Arabidopsis thaliana: one gene and its partners. The protein of the gene in region 4 interacts with the protein of the main gene of each other region in a pairwise test. Each region holds a gene or a part of one and is shown on either strand. Other genes may lie near its edges.

Region 1 (5,530 bases), on a different chromosome or scaffold from region 4:
TCTCCATTTTCAAAAGTAATTACAATGATTATCTTACCATTTAACACAATAATACGATTGACAAACACGAATCTTTTTTGCTTACCTTCGATGAATTAATATAAGCTATATAACAAAGGATCTTCAAGTCTTGGACGGATTTGGAATTGGAATTCTCTGGCCTTGGACTCTGTCAAGATCTTACCCCCGTACGAACCTACTTGGTGTGAGAAGAAAACCAAGCAGTGCTTTTGGAATTTATTGTGTATGTGTCGGATCTGACTTGGATTAGAGCTAATGGTGAATATATAAAGAAGATGAAGACAAGAGTTTCGTCTTTGTTGACGTACGAGAGAAAGATTAAAGACAATCATTTTGAGTCTCCTAAATGAATTTGTTTTTCTGAATTCTGACACTTAGTTTCTTTAGTCAAATCACTTTTGAAAAAGTGTAAAAGCGTCACTTTGTTTAACCGAATGGTCAATTTTTTGAAGATTAAAACTGGCTATTTCTAACCTTTTTTTTCTTCATGTTTTCTTGTTGTATATATATTGGCCCATTTCTCATAGACAAATCTCAAGAAAATGATAGTTCCTCTCCCTCCCCTCAAGAAAAGTTTTCATGCATTGTTTTTTTCTTTTCTTTTTTATTTTGTGAAAAAAGTTATTTCAAGTAAATAAGTGGTTTAGCATTCTAAACCGCTTGTTCAAAACCTACAAATCAAAGCAGCAGAAATCACAACAACGAGTTCTAACATTACAAGCGACACAATCATCACTAAAATTTAAATTGCATGAAAAAAGCCCCAAAAAAATAAAGTAAGCACTCCCTTTAACTTAAACACTCTTCCAAATGCTTGGAGAATAAAACCCAATATGTAGAGATTATTACGTACTGTAATCTTCACCAGTGTACAAAGTTGTCGCCGTGTGATGATTTTCAAGTAAACACAATATTTCCCAGGTTAGAGCTTCCAGATCTGAAATAAAATTGTTTCCAAGCTTTAACACTTCAAATATTGTGATAAATATGTTACAATATATATATATATATATATACACACCATATGTAACACACAAAGAAAATAACCATGATAGATTAGATACACCATATATATCTAACATTAAAAGCAAATAATCATAACATCTAAAAGGTAAAAGAACAAACAAAAGACAAAAGCTAGACATCTAAAATAGTAAAATGTATAACATCGAACCACCAATATCTTTTACTCTAAGACTTTTTACCAGACTCATATACTCACACACTCACAGAGTCACACACACACATAGTAATGATGTCTTGATGATTAGATAGACCACATTGCACACAAAAAGATATAATCATGACATCTAAAAGGTAAAAACAAACAAAACACAAAAGGCATGTGAAATGGATAACAATGAACCAACATAAACTTTTGTTTTAAGGGACCAACAGAAACTTATCAAAAGTATCTTTAATCGAAAGAATATTTAAATAGCAGAAAAATATATATCCTTACATGTTGGTATTTGCATGAATGAAACTAAATATCTGTTGGATGGAACTTGCTATGTCTTCTGCCGTAAACCTCGTTTCACTTGTTATCTGCACATATTTTACATCTACCTCATGTTAGCCATTGATAGTTATTACATATACTTTAACAATACAAATCCATAATCTATGATTATATTGAAAACCCTAAATAAAATTATAAATGTGTTTTATGACAGCTAATCCAGATTAGATAATTACATGTATTATTTGATGAGTCTAGATTTTGCATATGAAAGCTGAATATGAATGATGAATTACTTTTTAACATATAAACTTGCCTTGACATTAAAGGAGTAGAGGACGGTTTGTTCCATGGTAGTGATGTTAGTGTGAAGAATAGAGAGATGAAGATCCTCCAAAGCAGCTATAGTCTTAATCAGCTGTCCCGGCCTTCTTCTTGAAAGTATCTTGATCATGGCGTCAAACCCTAGCAGCTTCACCTCCACGTCAGCCAAGCACGACTTGTTCTCCGCAGTCTCCTCCCGAAGCCCTCCTCCGCCCTCTAGCTCGGTTACATTTCCCGTAATAATGAGCGGTTGTGCTTGGTTCGCTACCGTAGTTATGGGAGAAGAAGAAGAAGTCGTTGTCGTTGTCATGTCCCTACCGGTTTCTCCTAAGATTCTTCGACGCTTCTGTGATTCAAGACATTGTAGGAGTTGCTCGAGCTCTCTCACAAACTCTATTGCTCCTCCTATGATTGACGCTTGGTCTCCCTATTTTATACAATTAATATTTGGTGTAGACAGTATAATTAGTTGTACATATACATATAAAAAAACATTCACGAAAATTCTTTCTTTAAGATATAATTTATGAATATCATACCCTTTGAACGTAGGAGCCAGGCATGAGAGATCTAAGGACACGAAGATGCTCATTCATTTGCTTCCTACGGTTTCTTTCGACCGCGATATGAGTCATCCGTTGGCTTTCCACTTCTTCGCTGGTCTTGCTCGTTCTAGCTCTCTTCCTCTTGCTCTTCACCTCCTTTTTCGTAACATTCTTGTTCTCCCTATCTTCTTCTTCTCCTCCAATAAAACGTAGTTGCACGGAGTTGTTGTCGTTGTCATCGTCTTGATCTTCTTTTTCTTCAAGAAACACATTGCCTATGTTTCCTCCACACTCACCTCCTTCTTGAGACGTCTGATGAGAAGGCATGAGATGTTGGGTTTGGTTATGGTCCTCTATTTTGTCGTTCAAGACAGGGAACTTCAAGAAATAAACGGGGTCAATCCCGGTTTCTTGATCGTCTTGGTTTCTGGTCTGGTTCAACGCAAGTTTCGAACCGAAGTCCGCAAACTGCATCACATCAGAGAAGTTCATTTTATCAAAAGGTGTTGCTCCAAATCCGGAAGGAGAGAGTTGATGTTGCTGCTGTTGTGGCATCGATTGCTTTTGTTGTTGTTGAAGGTTTCTATTGAACATATAGTCTATCATACCAGAGCTGTTATCATCGTTACCGCCTGAGGATTCACCTAAGAAGTTTGGTGCCTAATAAAAACCAGAATTGGAGAATGAAGTTAATATCATAAGCAGGAAGATTTGAATCTTATACATAGATATCTATCAATTTGTATAAGAAAAGAGATTAAGGATCTTGAAATACTGGAAAAAAAAACGTACGTACCGAGTAATCTTTATCCATTGCTATTCGTGGTAGTTGATTATAAACTGCTTAAGTCTAATGAAGGTCAAGCTTCTTGACCTGATGACAACAATCCATGAGCTTCACAGTCAGTTTTAAAAACATATACATGAAACAAAAACACACGTAGAACAAGTTAAAACCAAACCTAGGCAGATTACATGTTTCACCATATACATATACATGTATTTTATATGTACAAAACAAGTTTTCAAATTGAATTTTGACAATTAAAAAAAATGATTAACACCAAATATATTAGAGCTTTGTTTAGTAAGGAGTTAACAAAATAAAAGGGACTGACCTTGTATGATTTGCTAGGGTTTACGAGAGATGTATATAAAAGACGCAAGACATGCAAGATAGTAGAAGAAGACGGATTAGAGAAGACAAAACTTAAAAAAGTGAGGGGAGCTTTTTGTATTGAGAAGTCATAAATGAGTAAGCATCACCAAGCTCCCATATTTATAGAGAGAGATACATTATACATGTGTACACAAGGTATAGCAAGGGGGCATTAAATTTCTTAAGTATGTATATTCGTAATCATTTGTTTCTCTAATTACTAATTAGGGTGTGAATGGTACACATTCGTGACCCAATAAAAACAAATTAAACGACTTAAAAAAAGATACGTAAACATGTTTCAAAAAAAAAAAAAACAATTTTCTAAAGAATAAAGATAAATGAAAATCTACATAAGTTAATCTAAAATATTGAGGATTAGTAGTAAGTAGTTTGATTGCAGTGGCTGTTTTATTCTACTATCATATTCCCATTAATTATCGAGACATCATTGTTTTTCGCAATTTTCTATGCATTCTCTTTTAGTTTCTAAAAGTAGAGAAATATCAACCATCACATAAAATGTTTTAGAAAATCTAAAAACTACAACCAAAAGATATCAATCGTGGGAAAAATGAATTTTCGTTACTATTGTCCTTTTTTATTGCTTTGTAAGAAAGAAAAAGGGATGTTATTATTGCCCTCTTATAATTGTTAGAGATACTTAATGCTTAGTAAAAAAAGCTTCCAATTGTAGCAGGATAAAGCCGTGCAGTCGGAAGTTCTCAATGTCTCCCCAAATGCTTTTGCAGAAAATCATGATTGGCTAATCAAAAGATGCTCATTCAATCAATCCCTTTGTATTATGCACATAATGTGTCAATATTAATTTTCATCCCATTTGATATATAAATATCATTACATATATAGTTATCTAGTTCTTCTCTATCTTCTACATAGAAACACATAACAATCCAAATTTTACGGTCAAATTTGAAATGGGGGATCTAGAGCAACTCCCTAGCTTATTTTGAACAAAAATTAAGTTCAATATTGACTCAAAAGAAAGATTATTGAATATTCCAAATCATATCTTGTTTTTGTAATAAATACTCTATTTCTTTTTGCGTTAGACGTAAGGGTGAGGAGCCACAAAATACGAAAAAAGAAGTAACGTGAAAACACACGTGTATCAGCTGATCACCTCTCTATCTATCTATCTTTTTTTTTTGTTTGTCAAACCATAAATGATAAGATTTGAGTTTTTAGAGTTCACAAGCCAAGGCCGCTCTTTTTCCACCGCTTTTCGTGAACTTAATCAAATCTCTATACGCTTCTCATCTTTTAGTTTATTTCTATAGTATTTCAAATTCAAGCACTTATATTAGTTATGTGTTGTCAATAAAATATGATTTCTAATAAAAATATTCTGGTCAAATATATGAAATTAGTTTCACGAACATGACCTATACTATTTGTGTGTGTACGTGGAGACATATACATTTAAAGAAAAAGACACTGGTGTGGATGGTTACGTTTTAACTTTTAACAAAAAGTGGAGTAAAAATTCACGTTGATCAATCCAGTGAACTTTTTCGGGAATAAGAGTCGCGGATCCATAGGAGTATTTTAGTAGGTGCATATTACACAAATACTATGTTGAAAAGAAAAAAAGAAACATGAAAGAGCTTGCATCGAAGCATCAACCAAAAAAAATACTTGCTGCAACCATTCCCAATTGAGCCAACAAAACAACTATTACGATACATAACACCCACAGGCCACAAGCATCGAAATACTGTAAGATATATAGATTTTAAGATCAAACTTCAATGATAGCGAGCGAAGAGACTGATTGATATACTCAATTCTTTTTTAATTCCAAAAGAATAATTTACATTCTTTTTTATCATAAAAAAAAGTAAAAAACATAAAAATTTGCATTCTTATACCATAAATTTATTGTCAATATACAAGTGCAGTTCAAACCAAGTAAACACACATATTTATTATATCTATATCATATACATACTTTTGTTTTGGACTTTTTTTTCCCACTCATATCAATAAATTTTTCTT
Region 2 (5,804 bases), on a different chromosome or scaffold from region 4:
CACTCGAGCCTGTTCAAAGGCTTACCGTTAGTTCCAGTGGTCTTCATCTCCACCGTCGATTCCGCATCAACATCGACGCATATGAGTATGTCTTCGCTGGGTTCCACCGAGTCTCGAGTGGCTACAGCTCCGGTCATGGTGGCTCTGTCTTCCTCCATTCGCCGTAAAAGGCTCCGTCTTTACACTTTCTTCCTCAGTTTTAGCAAAGTGTCTTCCTTTTCCTACTTTCTATTTCTAATTGTGTCCGTACCAGATGAAAACGCTGCGTTTTTATTAGTTGACCGAAGATTCTCAAGTCAAACCAAAATACGACGTCGCTTGCTAGGAGATTTTCGTCATTATTCATTTCAGTTTTTGGAATAATAAAACTCACTTGTAAGAGAAAAAAAGTTAAATGCAAACGGTGAAATAAAACTTTAGGTTTGTATTTTGTAGTTTGTTTGAATAAATATGAAAATAAATCTTCAGTGGTTACATACTTTTTATATATTTTCATGAACTTAATTTTATTTTTACGTAAAAATGGTGATCATGAAGTTTAATGAGGATGATGATAATTATGATATAAGAATACAGGATAATAAAATGAAATAGTCAAAGATAAAGGAGTTGTATATACAATTATAACATACGTAATGATAGTCGTACATGGTTTAGGTTTTGGGCAATCATAGAGTAGCAATTGCCTAATTATCACAAAGTTGGTAAACACAATTGTTGTCTTATTTATGCATTGCTTGGCTCATCATAACAGATTTTGGCATTCGAAGAGTTGGTCCGTTGGGTTGAATGTGACTGTTATTGAGCTTCCTCTTGTTCATTTCCGCATACATCTCTTCTATCATCGGCTTCCATAGCCTAACCCGCGCATTTATAAACCAGTTTGATACCTTTAATCACACACAACAAAGAGACACACTCTATATCATTTGCCCGCTTTAACTTACTTCAGTAACAAAACATATGTGCGACTACAATCCTAGGACTTGAGTAACATTATTGTGAATTCAAGAATACATAATCTAGTCTCATTTGTAGTTCAAGAGAAAAGCTTGATTTTTTCCTAGCCCTAATCTCATCTTAAAATAACCAATACCGGTTTTTCAGACATGACTAGTATGTCAAGATATATATTACTCATTTGAATACCATATTTGCTATCATTGTGAGCAAAGATGTTATCAATAAGTCATTGCATAAGAAAACAAAGATCTTATCAATGAGTCATTGCATAAGAAAACAAAGCTTGTTATCAATGAGTCATTGCATAAGAAAACAAACATGAGACATTACCTGACTTCTTGTCAAGCCACTTCGTATAGCTAGAAGATGTTTCTCCGAATCTTTCGGGTAACTGCATTAAATAAAACATAACTTTGCTTATAAAATCGAGTTAACAATGTCATCATCATAAAGTAGATAGTTAAGAAGAGTAAGGATTGTTACGGGTGAAGGAAGTTTTGGAACATCCAATTCCGTAGAACCGAAACAGATTTCTCAGGCAAACCTCGTTGAGGTCTCCAAATCTGATGGTTCTTTCGTTTCAGCTGCTGAAGAAGGCAATGCTGGTGGAACATAGAGGTTTCTTGAGTCTTGTCTTTGCCTCTCTCCAATACAGATCCCATAGAGATTATCTTCTTGCAGATTCTCTCTCTCAGGTTCTTGTATAAGAAGGAAACGGTTTGGAGGGCAAACCGGGTGTGTAACTGTGGATCTAACTCGGTTGCAGCATGGAACGCTGATATAACCGTATGAATCTCATCTACGCAATGACTATATCGATCATCCACCTGAAGAGAAATATCAACTCATAAAACTTCATCATATATATCAAACCATTTTTTTAACTTATGCAAAAAAAGTGAATGAATATATTACATACCATTTGAAGAAGATCCAAGAGATGGGTTTTCTTTGCTTCTAATGCTCTCCTTTGAAATGTAGATCCGAAACCCGCCTCCGAGTTATTAGAATCACCATCAAGAAACTCAGTTATATTCTCAAAACGTGAAGTAAAGGCTGAACTAGCAGCTCCTGACTCGGTTCCTCGAGATGAATAATCGAGCGAGTATGCGGCGAAATGAGATAGTATTTCTTGAACAGAGTGAAGGTATTTTGAGCCAAATATAAGTTGAGAGAAACCTTGAGTAACAACGTTATTAGAAATGTCTTTGCTGCTGCAAGAAGCTTGCTCTGAGGCTAATCTTGTAGCTGCACAAAGACTTATCTCCGAGCATTCATCAGAAACATCTGATGCAAGACTCAATGAAAGCTCATTGTTTCTTTTATTCGAAATTAGAAACGGGAAATCTTCTTCACCGAATGTAGACATCATTGGTTCACTTGGACCAACTACACCTGAAAATGCCTGAAACTCACTATTTGCTTCAAAACCCCACATGTTGTTTGAGGAATCATCATAGTGTCTTAAATGATCCAAAGGATGAAGTGGAGGAGGATGAGGAGGAGGAGCCATGAACTCAACATTGCGGTTATCTTGAACATCGATAGACCGTGGAGAAGATGATAAGTATTTGTTAGTCAGCATAGAATTGAAAATATCAAAGCCACCCATTTGTAGAGGATCTGATCTGATGGTATTCCATGGAAGCATTGTTGAGAATGAAGTTGAATCTTCTCTTGAAGGTATAAAATCCATGAGAAGAGGATTTTGGTTAGTCATGACATTATCCAGAGAACTAAAAGTGTTGTTGTTGTTGTTGTTGTCCATTGGGTTTCTATGAAACTGCATTACCAAAGAAGACAAGTATTTAAGACTTAGACAAAAGATTTCAGAAAATCTAAGAAACCAAATCTTTGGAGAATAGTACTAAATGTAAAATGCTGCAAGAGACAGAGAACATCGCTCACTATGTCATTAAATATTTCATTAAAATATATAAAGAACCGAAACATGAGTTAATGAAGCCGTAACTAGGCTCAATGATACACAGACCAATAATATCTCAAAGCTATCTGTGATAAACAGTGAACTAATAAGTAAAAAAGAAAGCTTTAGATTACTACAAATGTCCATAGAACATTAAAAATGTTGAAACTTGCCTTTATCCTTCTTCTTCTGATAGAACCTTTGGGAAGATTTCAGACAACACAACGTTCCAAAGAGAATTTTTACATCAAAATTTCCAAAATGTGTGTTAAAAACTGAAGAAGAAGATAATGCTTATTTATCTTCTTTCTCCGTGAAAGAACAGTGTACTTTCATTCCGCAGCTTCTCTATGTTCCTAAAGAGAACCAAAAAGCAGAAATCAACAATAAAGTTAGTATTCATAAATTAAAGAGAACAAAATAATGCAACAAAACTGAAAAAGAGAAAAGTGGGTCTGATTAATCTCTTTTGCATGAACGCAAACACTTACAAAAAAAATTACTTACTTTTTCTTACAATAATTTCATGAAGAAATTCATAATCTTCATCATCTGCCTCACTAAAAGATTCAGAGCACTAGATCAACAAATAGCAACATTTTATAACTAAATAAACAAACCAAAAGTTGTATTATCGAGGGGAAAAATACAACTTTAATATTCAAGAAAGAAGAAGTTGAAAAGAAGGAGGGCCAAATCACGTACGGAGCTGCCTCTGTTTATGACACGAATCCATTTTCATATCTTTAAGATCTTCCGACCAAAAAAAAAGATAAATCAGAATCAAGAAAATCTTATATATAATCACTTTCTTAAAATGTCATTTATTTAAAATGTTGTTCATAGAGAAAGAGATGAATCTAGTAAAATTATCTAAAGAAAATATATGGTTGAAACAGAATCGAAATCCAAAAAAGAAATCCAAAGACATGAAGAAGACCGATGTGTTACTGTTTACTACAGAGAAGTGCACTCATTTCTGTTGCAGGCTTTAAATTAGGGAAGAGACCCTACATTTTACTATTTACATGTCTCTATATATATATATATGTATGTGTCTCTATTTATAAAATTTTATAAAGTTATAAGAAAATGGTGTTGTCTTCTTGTGCTGGTTTCAATTATCACAAATCAGAAAGAGGGAAAAAAGTAAAGAAGGGTGAGATCTTTTTTAGCCATTTAAGGAGAATTGATGAGATGTGTGATCCATTTGGGTTCTTGCTTTTTCTTCTTTCTTTTCTCACCACTCGTGTCTTTGTATTGTGCCATCAAATCTTATATCCATTTACGTATTTTTTTCATATAAGTTTTTTACGTAAGCTTTACAAAAATATCAATCAATTTGCTTGGCCTTTTCTTTGATTGTTCCTTTCTTATCATTTTTATTTATTTATTTATTTATTTTAAGTTCAATGTGTCGTTATGTGTTACGTCTTTATTATCATGGCTAATGATGATGGAATTGAACTCTATTACTCGTAGACTATATAGATTGCAACATCTGAAATTATGCTCTTCTTTATTACAACCAAAAGAAGAAGAAAATCTAATGGTACTTGATTTGATCTGTATTAGCGTGACTTGATCTGTATTTTAAATAATGTTAATGGTACTTGCCTAAACAATGACTTTCTAAGCTGGTATGAGACAAAGAAAAGGGTCAAGGACAAGTATCTTGCATGGCCACTCCAAGCAAAATTGGATATTGATTTGGTGAAACAGTTATTGTTGTTCGTATAGGACAAAATTATTTTCAATAGAAATCGATAATTATTGATATCATATCCTTATTATTGTTTGCTTACAAGTCTATATTATTTAATAGTTTGAAATTTTGATTTAGTAAAGCAGAATAGTATCAATAACACTAGGAACTATAGTACCGACTATTAACTGAAGCTGGAATGCATCTTTAATCATGCCTACGATCTTAATCAATAACACTTATTAATGTTAGACTATTAGACCCGTGCTCATAACTTTTGGGTCCTAGGCGAATTATAAAAGTTACTTTTTTTTGTTGTCTGATAGTCCAAACAAGAACTTGTAATGCTTTTTCTAAAATGAAACAAAATGTACGTTGGCTATGGAGCCTATCGACTCCAGCACCAGCAGATGCTTAATCTACTCCATAGACTAGAGCGCTTTTTATCTGAAGTCGTATAATTTCCCAAGTCATTTGGCTTAATTATTGTGTATCAACTTATACTATATGCTACTGATGTCTTGCTTAGAATATTATACAAGTTCATTGACTTAGAATTATATATAGGCAGACTAAGCAAAATGGGAATAAATGATCACAGAGGGCATTAACTAGTTCACTGAGGTTCAACAATCTACTTGATCTTAACTCCTTTCGAATTAATATAGAAGTCGAGCACTTGAGGATCAGAAAACACACATTCATTCTCAGTGTCTGAAGCACTTGAGGGTCAGAAAACACACATTCATTCTCAGAGCGGCGTATAATTTTAAGATGTCAATCGCTCTTACGTAAAGATCGATAGCCATCCACCTAAACATATGCAATACTCCTTCTGTGAACAAGAAATTTATTGATAAAACCAAGTGTGTTAGCAAGTTAATCTTTACATAGAAATCAAGGACTCACTCTTAATGACCAGCAAAGTGTGTTAGCAAGTTGAGTGACCAGCAAAATTCTAACCCTAAAAAAGTAATGTAGAAAGCAAGCCCTCATTATCACCTTTACCGTGACATTTGGATTTCCATCTCTATCACCACCCATCCAGGAACCAAACTTTAGTGGATTCATTGATGCAATGCAGATAGAAGAAGAATAGAAGATGATGCAATGCAAGAAAGACATCCCTTGAGAGAGCCCAAACCATTCACCTTATTCCAATACATTAAAAGGTGTGGTTTTTCCCAAAAAAAAATTAAAGTAAATTTT
Region 3 (6,472 bases), about 19 Mb from region 4:
AGACATTTTGACCTTTGCAATAAGTAGTGACATTGCCTTGTTTACAAAGGCACAAAAAATCTCGTGTCCTCGTATTAAACCCACAAACTCCACCACCTTTAGTCGTTTCTTGGCAAAGAAGGCACTTCATTGTCACTGGAAATTCGTAATCAACCCTTATCCCGTACTCTGGAAACTGATCATACGGTGCATTCTCCACACCTGTACTCCTCCAATACACACTTGTATACGTCGCACAGTCCTGCAGCATGAGCCTAAGAGATTGAGTCGCTTTAGGGTAATACGAACAACAAGAAACCCTAGATCCCAAAGCAGAGCCACATTCAGGCAAATGTCTGCATAGATAGCTAGAACTATCGCAGGACGAGTCACATCTATCTGGAAACCTTTCGCAGAAGAGCGGTTTTGGTTCGACGATAACTTTATCGGTGTTGCAGTTGAAGAACAAGTAGTCGTTTTGAGGAGAGACAGTGAAGTGTGTACTTGAATCGATGCTAAAAGATCTAGTGGGTCGAAAATTGTCTCGATCTTGACAGTTCCACATGAATGGATCGGAGACAAGAAGGTGAGGATCAGAGTAGCTTATAGATTTAACAGGGTATTTACCAGATGGTGTTCTAAGTTCGAGCTTGGTATCGTTGTCGGAGCAAATGAGCATGTGTCTGTAATAAGGGCTACCACAACCGTCGTCGATGGAAAAAGGGTAATTTATCGGAATGTTGCCGCAAGAAGATCTGCAGAGATTTGATTGGGATGATGTTGTTGATGATTGAAGAAGGATGGTCATGAGAAGGGAGAAGAAGATAATGTAAGAGTGAAGTGGAGACATTGTTCAAAAATTAGGAGTTTAGATTTGATTATTGGGTAGTTTTTAGTTATGAGATTATAATTTGGTGGTGTGAAGTGTTGAGTAAGCTTGGAATGTCTTGTTAAAGAGTTTAAGAATCAATCTTGTCATGTGCTTGTTAATATTGCTTATTTTAGGTTTCGGTTTGTTTTTAAAATTTCACCTTTCTTTTTAGTATAAAGTATTCCAAGAGGACTCGTGGTTTTGTTTCAGATTATTTGAAATATTTACATACAATATGTCAACAAACGTACTATTCTTTTTTCTGATATTTTACAACAAAATTTGTTCTTTAACATGTTATCTAAAAACCATTTAACAAAAAAAATAAAATGTATGAGAACCTTATAAAATACAAAATAGTAATTTCAGTATATAATAGTTTTGAATTTTCTTTTATTTAGAATTTCGTTTAAAGGGTTGTGATTTGTGAAGTAATCTTTGGAAGATAATCTCAATGTAAACAACACATTGGGCTTCTCATAGGCCCAATATAAACAACACATTGATCATTATCCATGTAAGGTGAACTCTTTAATCGAAACCGTTCAATTTCAGTCATCTCAATCCAACGGTTAGTATTCCAAGGAGCACGTAATCCACTCTAAATTCGTAAACACGTGATTTCTCACTAAATATAAAACTTGATACGTTACGCCTTCCTATCCATCCGTCAACGATTAAATCCAATCGTTCAATATAGAGATCCAACGGCTAATAACGAAACATTAGCCCACACGAAATCTCCTTTTTTTTTTTGACGGGATTATACAGTGGGCCTCCACCTGTAATTGTCCATTTAGGAGACAGCGCGGTTAATTTAGCATTATCCCTCCTCACAGTCATCTCTTTCTTCGCAAATAAATGTAACCATCTCTCTTCTCGTTTTCTTCAACAAAAATCCTCATTTCTCTGAGAATCTGGTGCTTTAGCTTTGGTGAGCTCTCTTTCTTATGAAACTTATCGATTCTCTTCTCGTTGATTGTCTTATACTTTTAGTTCTCTGCTTAATTTATTGTCCTTAATACTCGTGGATTTGTTCATAAATCGTTTTCTGAGCAGTTAGGTAAGAGTTTTGTTACCGAATTTCATGTTCTTCGATTTTGAATCTGGATGATTGTATGATGTGATTAGTAGACTCGCTTAGATTTTGTGATCTGTGTATGGTTTGTGGCTAATTTTGGTTTCATCGGTGGTATGAATTTATTTGGGGTTTTAGGTTTGTTTGATTACGTAATCGGACTGTTTACTTGAAGATTTATCGATTATAGTTGTGATCGTTTTTAGTTGATTGAGAAGAAGAAAATAAATTTCATGCTCTTGTTATTGTCGCGATTGTGGCGATTTTCAGTGTCTTATGAATCAATTATGTTGCATGTGAGTCTTGGTGCAATTGAGATTGTTTCCTTTTTTTACTAGATTGCTTGTCTTATTGAACAAAACTTTCCATTTATGTTGAAAAGGTTTATAGGAACGGATGTTTAGGGTTTTGTTGTAATCTGGGTATTTGCTTTCTGATTTCGGCAAGCAAATGTCGATTTCAAGGTTTATATCACTTTCTCTAGCAAAAGAAGTCTTTAGTCATTTGCAAAGTCAAGAGAGTTTTTACTTTATTTATTGCTTCCACGCTATTGCTTCGTGGCTGATTGAGAGAGACCAATTAAACTAATAATTTGTAGTTTGTACAATATATTGCGTGTAACATTGTCCTTCGTTATCTGTTTGAGGAGGAGGACCGAGTTAGCCTATTTTTAGTCACTTTACAAATTTTCTTTTATGTTGCATCATTCAATATGAACTCTCTGATATAAATATATGTATACATACTGGTTGACTTTTATGGGTATGGTTCTCTGCTTTTTTTCTCTGTGATGGTCTCTTGATTCTAACTTTCTTTGTTTTATGTTTTTGGTTTTTGTTGTCAATGAATAGGTAAAATGAAGATATACTCTAGAACGGTTGCTGTTTCACTCATTGTGTCATTCCTCCTGTGTTTCTCTGCCTTTGCTGAGCGCAATGACGGGACCTTCAGAGTTGGACTGAAAAAACTCAAGTTGGATTCGAAAAATCGGCTTGCAGCACGCGTCGAATCCAAGCAAGAAAAGCCCCTGAGAGCTTACAGACTTGGAGATTCTGGAGATGCTGATGTTGTTGTGCTTAAGAATTATCTAGATGCTCAGTACTATGGTGAGATCGCCATTGGTACTCCACCTCAGAAGTTCACTGTGGTTTTTGACACTGGGAGCTCTAACCTCTGGGTGCCATCATCAAAATGCTATTTCTCAGTAAGCAACATTTGGACTATTGTTGTTAGCTGTGGTTGAGATACTTTTGAGTAGAAAACTAATTGTGTTCTATCTCTTTTGCAGCTTGCATGTCTCTTGCATCCCAAATACAAGTCGTCTCGTTCAAGCACATATGAGAAGAATGGTTTGTTCTCTCTCTTAACTTGAAATTTTTTGCAGTTGGATTTCCCAGTTGGTAGATACTTTACAGTTCACTCAATGTAGCCTCTAGAATTCATGTTAATGTGCAGAAAACCATTGTTAAAAGATGCAACATCACTACTGATAGCAGCTGCTAGGTTATAACTAACTTGCTCATCTTTGATGCAGGAAAAGCTGCCGCAATTCATTACGGCACTGGAGCAATTGCTGGTTTTTTTAGTAATGATGCTGTCACAGTTGGCGATTTAGTTGTCAAGGATCAGGTAAACTATATGTCCGACCCTAATCAGTACTCTTACAACATACACATCAATGACCTCCTTCTTAACATTTGTCTATCTCATCAGGAGTTTATCGAGGCAACCAAGGAGCCTGGTATAACATTTGTTGTAGCTAAATTTGATGGTATCCTTGGTCTTGGATTCCAAGAGATCTCTGTTGGAAAAGCTGCTCCTGTTTGGTATGCCTGCACATTCTTCTCTTGTTTGGACTGAGTTACTACATTCCTGTAGTGTTAATGCTAATATGTCTTGTTTTTTACAGGTACAACATGCTCAAGCAAGGCCTTATCAAGGAGCCGGTTTTTTCATTTTGGCTTAACCGTAATGCAGATGAAGAAGAAGGTGGTGAACTTGTATTTGGAGGTGTTGATCCAAATCATTTCAAGGGCAAACATACATATGTTCCTGTGACACAAAAGGGCTACTGGCAGGTTTGTGATACATCACTTCCTTGTCTGGTTTTCTCATAACGTTTTCCAGTGACGATCTAACTCAAGCTATATATATTTTGTTATAGTTTGACATGGGTGATGTTCTTATTGGCGGTGCACCCACTGGTATGTGTAACACTGATTGGCGTTGTTCTTTATAACACATATATATAGCTTTTCCTGACAAATTCAAAAAGGTTTTGCTATTTATGTTTGCTGGTGACAACTGGTTCTAAAGTTTGAGTTACTGTTATACAGGGTTCTGTGAAAGTGGCTGTTCTGCGATAGCAGATTCTGGTACATCTTTGCTTGCCGGTCCAACGGTAAGCAAGAATTAAAATTGCTTATAGCTTTATAGAATTATGGTTTTTTAACTAGTATATGTAGTAATATTTCAATTTTTTCCCTGTGTAGACTATAATCACCATGATAAACCATGCTATTGGAGCAGCTGGAGTTGTTAGCCAGCAGTGCAAGACTGTTGTGGATCAATACGGGCAGACCATTTTGGATTTACTTTTGTCTGAGGTTAGTGTGCTTAATATTGGACTAGCTAATAAAATCTGTGACAAGTCATATGCTGTGCAAATTATTTTGGCTTACCATTCATCCCCCTTGCGCCTTGCAGACCCAACCGAAGAAAATCTGCTCGCAGATTGGTCTGTGTACTTTTGATGGTACCCGTGGTGTCAGGTAAAGTTATAATCTGTAGTCATTGCCATTAAGCTAGGATCTTCATTTTGGAATGCTTGTTTGTTTTTCCGTGTGATCTGCTCATATTTAGTATGATTTTGTTTATAAATTATCTAGTATGGGCATTGAGTCGGTGGTGGACAAGGAAAACGCCAAATTGTCTAATGGTGTTGGAGATGCTGCGTGTTCTGCATGTGAGATGGCTGTTGTGTGGATCCAGAGCCAGTTGAGGCAAAACATGACTCAAGAGCGCATATTGAACTACGTCAACGAGGTAACCAATAAGTTGTCATTTCAAGACTTTTGTGAAACAGTAGTTATTGTTGTCCTGATTACTGATTATAAATCGCTACTGTGGGTTTTCTTAACAGCTATGTGAACGCCTCCCCAGCCCAATGGGAGAGTCTGCAGTTGACTGTGCACAACTGTCAACAATGCCCACTGTTTCACTTACCATTGGAGGCAAAGTATTTGATCTTGCTCCAGAAGAGGTATGATAGTGAACTATTTAAAGACAACATTCATATTATGTAGTGAATATGACCATCTACTAATCTGTTGTACTGGTATGATGTGAGCAGTATGTTCTGAAAGTTGGTGAGGGACCTGTGGCACAGTGCATCAGTGGTTTTATTGCTCTTGACGTTGCTCCACCTCGTGGACCTCTCTGGTAAACCATTGAATCTATTACTCTGTAGCACAATTTCTTCTTGCTTTCTTTTTCTAACCCTAAGAACGGTGGTAAAAATGTAACAGGATCTTGGGAGATGTGTTCATGGGCAAATACCACACCGTATTTGACTTTGGTAACGAACAGGTCGGGTTTGCAGAGGCAGCCTAAACACGATCGGGTTGGTGTCGCGTATGGTTTTAGTATGAACAATCTGCGTCTCAAGTGTTGTTTGTATGTTTTCTGGAGTTGAGGACTTTGAGTCGTAGTAGAAATGGTGGCGCAGTTCCTTTTAAGTTGTTTCCTAACGAAAAAAGGCCTTTGTAGTTTTGAAGGCATTGGCTTTGTAAATACCTTCTAAGTAAGTTCGATGGTGAAAAAACTGAAAACTTTAATAAAGCCTGCCTCTTTTGTTTATGCTTAGTAAGTTGTATCAAATGGTTCGGTAAAAACGGTGTAGCATAAAAAATTTGAAAATGGTCAAGCTCGCTTTATCTTCATTTTCTAACCACATAAATTCCTACGTCAAAAAGTCACGATGATAATAGTTATTTGTCATATATTGAAGAACGTTCCTGCTTGAAACATGCATTTTAAGTTGATAGACTGTTTGAGACCCAATTTTCTAAAACCTTAATAATTCGTCAAGAGCGAGGTAAATTCCCCAACACGAAGCTTGCAGCATCCTTCCTGAATTTCGGAACAAGTATCTATTTTGAACAAGTCTGTGAACTTATGAGAAATTATAATGACAACCCACTTGCAGCGACTGTATACGTATATGGAAGGAAATAAGAACCAATTCGAGAAGTTTTTGTTGCGAAATGAACAAGTTACAACGAGTTACAGTTTCCTATAGCAGAAGAATTGATTAATTTCTACCTTAGCTAAACACTTAAACAAGAAGCAAACCTATACTTGTTTTGTATTCTCTGATCTTTCCCAATCATCTTCCATGTTAACAAGATGCGATAACACCAAACCACAAGCTCCTGATATCAAACTCGAAACATATATATTCAGACGGCAGAATCGCAAAGAAGTTTCAAGTGTTGGAATAAGGTCTCTCAAGTATTCTTTTTGCTGCTTGAACGCGAAAGTTT
Region 4 (5,815 bases):
CTTAAATACCATACACGTTATCGAAAATATATACGTATGTCACTAACATTCATTTATTAAGCAGTCAGTCCAACTTCTTTTGTCAAATTAATTAGTAGTTTAATGTTATAGTAATCGGGGGTTACCATAAGGCATAAAGTAATGTCTTTACTTTTATATATATATATATAAACAGATCGGATCTTCTGTCTGAATCGTAGTGGACAAATGATGGCGGCATGTGGTGACTTTTCTAAGATAGTAAGATCCCAAGTTCTCAATCTCAAGAGCTATTTTTTCTTTTTTAATGAATACATCATATATCTATTTCTCGGTCTAGTTGTGTTTGTAAACTCGTTTGAAAATATTAAGTTACACAAATCTTGGTATCAAATAAAGAACTAGAAAACTATACGTTAATTAGTTTTTGAGAATACCAATAATCTAAACTGGAATTAAACTAATCCATTTTTATGGACGATTTCTTTCATTGATCGGTCCAAAGATATTATGATATGGCTTATATTTTATAAAACACTGCCTTTTTTGTCGGCATCATTACTTTATATTTCCAAATGATGGTCTAGTCATCCACGGAAAACACGTTACAAAATCAGTGTTCTTACCAAAAAGATAAATTTGAATGCACAATACAAACAAAATGAATTACAATCTAGTAACAACCAGTAATCACGCAACGCACAAATCATATAGTAGTCGGTGGATCTAATAAGCTAAGTAAGTACATGATATTAATGATCACACCTCGTTATTATCAGTAACATGAATTACGTATGTATCATGCATGTCTTAGCAGTGTAATTAGTATGAATATATGTAGAGGTAGTAACTAATATAGTAAGAAGAGATTAGTGTTTGCGCTTGGACTTCAAGGAAGTGAGGGAGTGAGAGTTGTTGTGCCAATTCCTCTTGCGTTGGTTAATGAACCAATTGTTGATTTGCTTCAACTGCAATCCTGTCTCCTCCACCAATTTTGCCTTGTCATCTTCCTGTTCAAGACACATATTTTTTTACATTATAAATTTGTTGTTGTTAATGACATTTTAGGAAAGAAAACAAAAACAATCAGTTTCAGTTTCAACGAAGAGAGGCCAATGCATGTGCAGATCTGATAGCGTCAAAGGCTATTTCTTTTCCACTATAGCATGCAACTTTAGACTGTAGTCCACCTTTTTGGCTTGTGCCAAATATTGAACGGGAGAGAGATGTATAGTGTTTTTGAGTATTAGTAACAAATTCAGTATGTTTGAAGAATAGAAAAAAAATGCATGTTGTGACTTTGAGTGTAACCAAAATGGGTCTTGATTGTTTCTTTGCATTTACATATCTATCTTCATTTGTTGTTTCATGTTATAATGATTATCATATTATTTCATGAAAACGTAAACCCAAACAAACAATTAGACGGAAACTATATTTGTTGTTCGTAAAATATAGAGAGTACTCACCGTAGGGTAAGGCCATTTGCAATGTTGTTGCCACCAATTTTTCAAGACAGTAGTTGTGTCTCCTGGCAATTTCCCAGCCCTTCTCTTCCTCATTATCTCTTCTCTTACATCTTCGATTCTCGATTTAAAACCCTTATCCGAAAAATAAACAAACGTCATAACAAGAAAATAAATAGTAAAATAACTGTATTACTATTGTGAATCATAACATATTAGTTAATTATACCTGTTTGAGTTCTAGTTTGAGTTCTTGTCTGACTCTTTCCATAAGGGATCTTTCCGATTCAGTCGGTAGCAACGGACCAAATCCCGTCATATCGTGGCCGCCGCTAAAATCAACGCCGGAATTATCTGACGAGAAATCCATCGGAAGATCATCCTCATCCTCCGACATAGTCGCACCCGACCCTTCTCCTAAAGTTGCTCCTACAAGAATACAGAACGTTTTAAACGAAATGTTACTCCAACAGTCAAACTACAAGATTTAGACGTCAAGCCCAAGCCCAAACTTAGGCTCAAGCCTGATATGCCCTTACGCATACAATAATCCTAATCAATACATCCCACGCTTTACGTGGTCATCAGTGCAAAAATAAATATTTTTAATAATTTCGTATAATTAAGAAATTTCATCTTTAGACTAATCATATAATATAACTATATAAGCACAAATAAAATCTCTATTTCTTATTGTGTGGGCATATAATATACTCTTCCTGATCATCTTCCAACACCTTACATTTAATATGTTTACTAGTTGTTCATATCTGGTATGATCAGCAAGAACCTTTAGATATACCTAACTCTATTATTTGTTTTAACTATCGCTAATTTTTAACAGGAATTTTAATTATATATATCTTAAGTACTTTCTGATTCTATAGCTATGTGGTATATATAATAACATGTAATTATCATGAAGTTATGTTTTTTAATTGGGTTATAAAAAATACCATTAAAAAAGTGGAAAAGAAAAGAACCTGTAAGAGAATGAAGGTTGTTCTCAATTTCACGGCAAGCCATAACAGCTTCGACGGCATGAACCCTCACGTGCTGTTGCAGCTGTTCTTTGAAGCTACACAACACCATTACATATTGTGCCTGTTTCCAATTAATTATAATTGTTAAATGTTTTATATATCCTCTCACATTTCATATAATTATTCAATGTGTAAACATTTTCCACATATATGCATACACACATATAAATATGTGCTTCTGGTGTGGTGTGTTTTGAGCGGTTAGATCATTATATAGTCCTATTTTCTACCTAACTTAAATAAATATAAATAAAACCGAATTTTTTTGGAACATTTCACAAGCTAATTCCAAAATTATAGTTGCAATATCAATTCCAACTTTAATGCAATTGCAAATTTTAGGTCGGAGTAGAAAATCAATCGTAACTAACATGATAATATTCAAAGTTTAAATAGAATTTCAATTTAATTACAAAATGACATTTAACATTGACTCACTCTATGTGAAATTTAGCACCTAACTATACAAAAAACCATATCTACATCTATGTGTGTGTATTATACATTTGAACATTCGTGTGAAGATACATAAATTTCCATGAAAGTTGAACAAAACCACTTCTTCACAAAAATCAGGTAAAAAAATACCAATAACTTAAATCATTGGAAAAAAACATAATTTGTTTGAAGTATAACTTCCCACAAGAGGAATTAGTAATTATAAAATTTATAGAAATTGTTGATATATTGACAAAAGGTTTACATCTTCGATCGATAAAACTCCCAACGATCTTGTAAAAAGTAAAACACGAAAATCATTGAAAAAAACATAATTTGTTTGAAACATAATTTCCCAACAGAGATTGGTTAGTAATCATAACTTCATTCAAAGTTAGTCCACTAGAAACCATCAAAAAAAAACTTTCAAATGAAAAAAGATAGAAACAGAACTTGTAAGTAATTTAACCAAACAAGATTATTTTTTAAAATATAACTAATAAATTTATATTCAAACGTACCAAGAAATTATCGAGCTCGTGACGATCATGATGGTATCCAACGGCCGTGGAAGCGTAAGAACGGAGAAGATGATGAGATTGAGAAAGCTGAGCTTCAATGATCGGAAGTTGATCTATTGGAGTAGCTACTCTTAAACACGCCACGTGTGCGGCTAATAATTGCTCATACATCGGATGTGTCGCTATCTCACCTTTCAACTGTCTATTCTGCTCCGCCACGACCGCGGTGTCTCCGTCTCCGCCTACGGTGGCTCCCATCATACCTAGTGCCGCTTCTTGCATAACCTTGACACAAGACCGGAGAGAGATACTTTTTGTGTCTGATCAAAACCCTAATTCTTGAAGCAGATTGTGTTCGTATGATTAGAAAAAGAGAGAGAGAGAGAATTGTCAGATGAAATCAACCTATATAAAGCTGTCCTGATTTCTTTCCCCTTTAATTGTTTTTCACTCCATTCTTTTCTAAAAATATACATTATTTGTTTATAGATTATTTTGTCTTATTTGTATACAAAATACATTTAAAACAATGTTTGTTATACACGGGTCTGGTCCGGCCATACCATATATTATTTTTACATAGATCAAATTATATTGAAAGTATTATTTTTGTATTGTTAATCGAAAGACTGAAAACTAGAATTACTAATTTTCATCAGATATGTGAATACAAACACACGGACGTTGATTGTTTTATACGGTGATTGTTATCTTTACAATTAATCTGAATTACTTTAGTCTAGAAAACTGCTACTATATATATGTTTGATTCCACAATATGCTGATATATACCTTGACGTAAAGTTATGAAAAAAGTGCACGTTAACAACGTGCTTTACAAAAATCATAAATACGTGTATATGTATGTATATAAAATGTAAACTTAAAATAAAAATTAAAAACACTTTTATTTTCCTTCTCGTGACAATGATTTAAGACCTAATAAGTGATCAACAACTTGAACTTAAAAATTAGTTGAAATTTTGAAAAAGAATGAGGAAAATAAAATATCTTCCCACCTTTAACGACAGGACCGGTAGACACACCTAATCCTCTAACGCCCACTTAACAAATAGTATTAACACCTAATTGATAATACTATTTAATAGTATAGAAATATAGTATATTTGTTTTCTTCTTTTGGTAAAGAACAAATATAATTAGTTATTCTTTTAAAATATTAAATACTCAATTACGTGATACAGTTAAATTTTTTTGGACAAAATGTGATACAGCTTTGATGCACCATTTCTTAGTCATATAACCTTAAAACAGTAACACTCTGATAATTTAATTGCAGTATTATTTGATAGATAGAAAAATGCTTTCATATTTTTCCTAGTTTGATATGAAGTTAATATAGCACACAAACAATAGTTTGATATATGAACTTTAATATATACTAATAGTTTTTAGCTAGAATTTCAGAAATATCCATAAAACTGAAAAAAAAAAAATTGATGTGTTGTGAAACGTTGTTAAGTCCGGATACTCTTGTGGCATGGTTTTTTGTAACGTCATGTAATAGTTCCGTTCAGAATTACAAATCTTCTGAACATACATGTTGGACGTTAAAAAAATTATTTTTCCACTTCATCGTTTAAAAAAATATATTCTTAAATCTTCTGGTTTTCCTCCGGCTTGGCATATTGGAGCCAATAGCCATCCAAGTAGTCTTAAGTTTTTGCAAAAAAAAAACTGCAATTAATTACAAAAACTAAAATAATATTTCATCATAACAATGGAATCCTTGGTCGTTGTAATTGCATATGTTGCATGTAGTTTATATCGTAATAGGATTAGATCAAATATTTTTAATAATGCCAATAATACATGACACAAAAAAAACTAAAATAATAGCACATAATATATTCTATAAACAAAAATAAAAAATACAAATTAAAAGAGGATTTTGCATATTATTAAATGAAAAAGAGAATAATGCACGCCTTCACCAATATGGAAAAACTACTTTCCATTTCTCCCTTTTTATGTAGTTATGTACAAATTCCCTTTTGTTTTACGCAATGACATCAAAAATATTCGTTCGTATAGAAAAATGAAAGAAACAAAATAAAGAGGGACAAAGACAGAGTTGGTCGAACAAAGAAAAGAGGGACAGAATTGTCGTTCTCTTAAGCCTAAGATTTAAGACATCTCACATCTGAAACAATTTGTGGTCCTATGAAAACGACTTCTCAACTTATAATAATGCTTTTGACACAAAAAAAAACTTATAATAATGCGGCCATTAATCAGAGAACAATGAGATACTATTAGTGACACGATACTAAGTTTTAGTGATTTAATGTACGGGCCATATAATATTGTGAGTTTGGTGGACCTAAAAATAATTCTCATTGGGCAC

What was found.
Region 1: the proteins of KNAT7 (region 4) and FMA interact in a two-hybrid assay, tested with the Arabidopsis thaliana proteins (one large-scale study listed by BioGRID).
Region 2: the proteins of KNAT7 (region 4) and ATH1 interact in a two-hybrid assay, tested with the Arabidopsis thaliana proteins (one large-scale study listed by BioGRID).
Region 3: the proteins of KNAT7 (region 4) and APA1 interact in a two-hybrid assay, tested with the Arabidopsis thaliana proteins (one large-scale study listed by BioGRID).

The regions. Positions count from the first base shown.
Region 1 is NC_003074.8:8,714,607-8,720,136, forward strand, and holds FMA (basic helix-loop-helix (bHLH) DNA-binding superfamily protein), read right to left. Parts: upstream 3,606-5,530; 5' UTR 3,471-3,605; intron 3,227-3,470; 5' UTR 3,167-3,226; coding exon 3,149-3,166; intron 3,013-3,148; coding exon 2,347-3,012; intron 2,235-2,346; coding exon 1,800-2,234; intron 1,570-1,799; coding exon 1,484-1,569; coding exon of another isoform or gene 1,480-1,483; exon of another isoform or gene 959-1,479; coding exon 919-958; 3' UTR 512-918; downstream 1-511. UniProt on the Arabidopsis thaliana protein: Transcription activator. Together with MYB88 and MYB124, ensures that stomata contain just two guard cells (GCs) by enforcing a single symmetric precursor cell division before stomatal maturity. Together with SPCH and MUTE, regulates the stomata formation.
Region 2 is NC_003075.7:15,914,143-15,919,946, forward strand, and holds ATH1 (homeobox protein ATH1), read right to left. Parts: upstream 4,012-5,804; 5' UTR 3,398-4,011; exon of another isoform or gene 3,247-3,397; 5' UTR 3,064-3,246; intron 2,747-3,063; 5' UTR 2,732-2,746; coding exon 1,883-2,731; intron 1,791-1,882; coding exon 1,447-1,790; intron 1,355-1,446; coding exon 1,294-1,354; intron 891-1,293; coding exon 723-890; 3' UTR 528-722; downstream 1-527. Other genes in the region: AT4G32970 (BRISC/BRCA1-A complex protein), read right to left, coding at 1-158. UniProt on the Arabidopsis thaliana protein: Transcription factor which may be involved in the signal transduction pathway downstream of the COP1 gene. Controls floral competency as a specific activator of FLC expression. Is responsive of the nuclear import of SHOOT MERISTEMLESS (STM).
Region 3 is NC_003070.9:4,016,187-4,022,658, reverse strand, and holds APA1 (aspartic proteinase A1), read left to right. Parts: upstream 1-1,893; 5' UTR 1,894-2,662; coding exon 2,663-2,690; intron 2,691-2,779; coding exon 2,780-3,132; intron 3,133-3,216; coding exon 3,217-3,277; intron 3,278-3,462; coding exon 3,463-3,557; intron 3,558-3,641; coding exon 3,642-3,754; intron 3,755-3,837; coding exon 3,838-4,006; intron 4,007-4,092; coding exon 4,093-4,132; intron 4,133-4,264; coding exon 4,265-4,329; intron 4,330-4,420; coding exon 4,421-4,534; intron 4,535-4,634; coding exon 4,635-4,699; intron 4,700-4,816; coding exon 4,817-4,973; intron 4,974-5,070; coding exon 5,071-5,190; intron 5,191-5,280; coding exon 5,281-5,369; intron 5,370-5,455; coding exon 5,456-5,540; 3' UTR 5,541-5,947; downstream 5,948-6,472. Other genes in the region: AT1G11915 (wall-associated receptor kinase galacturonan-binding protein), read right to left, coding at 13-829; AT1G11905 (B-cell receptor-associated protein 31-like protein), read right to left, coding at 6,437-6,472. UniProt on the Arabidopsis thaliana protein: Involved in the breakdown of propeptides of storage proteins in protein-storage vacuoles. Possesses aspartic protease activity in vitro.
Region 4 is NC_003070.9:23,335,382-23,341,196, reverse strand, and holds KNAT7 (homeobox knotted-like protein), read right to left. Parts: upstream 4,031-5,815; 5' UTR 3,730-4,030; coding exon 3,448-3,729; intron 2,550-3,447; coding exon 2,429-2,549; intron 1,875-2,428; coding exon 1,675-1,874; intron 1,581-1,674; coding exon 1,449-1,580; intron 990-1,448; coding exon 849-989; 3' UTR 505-848; downstream 1-504. UniProt on the Arabidopsis thaliana protein: May be involved in secondary cell wall biosynthesis.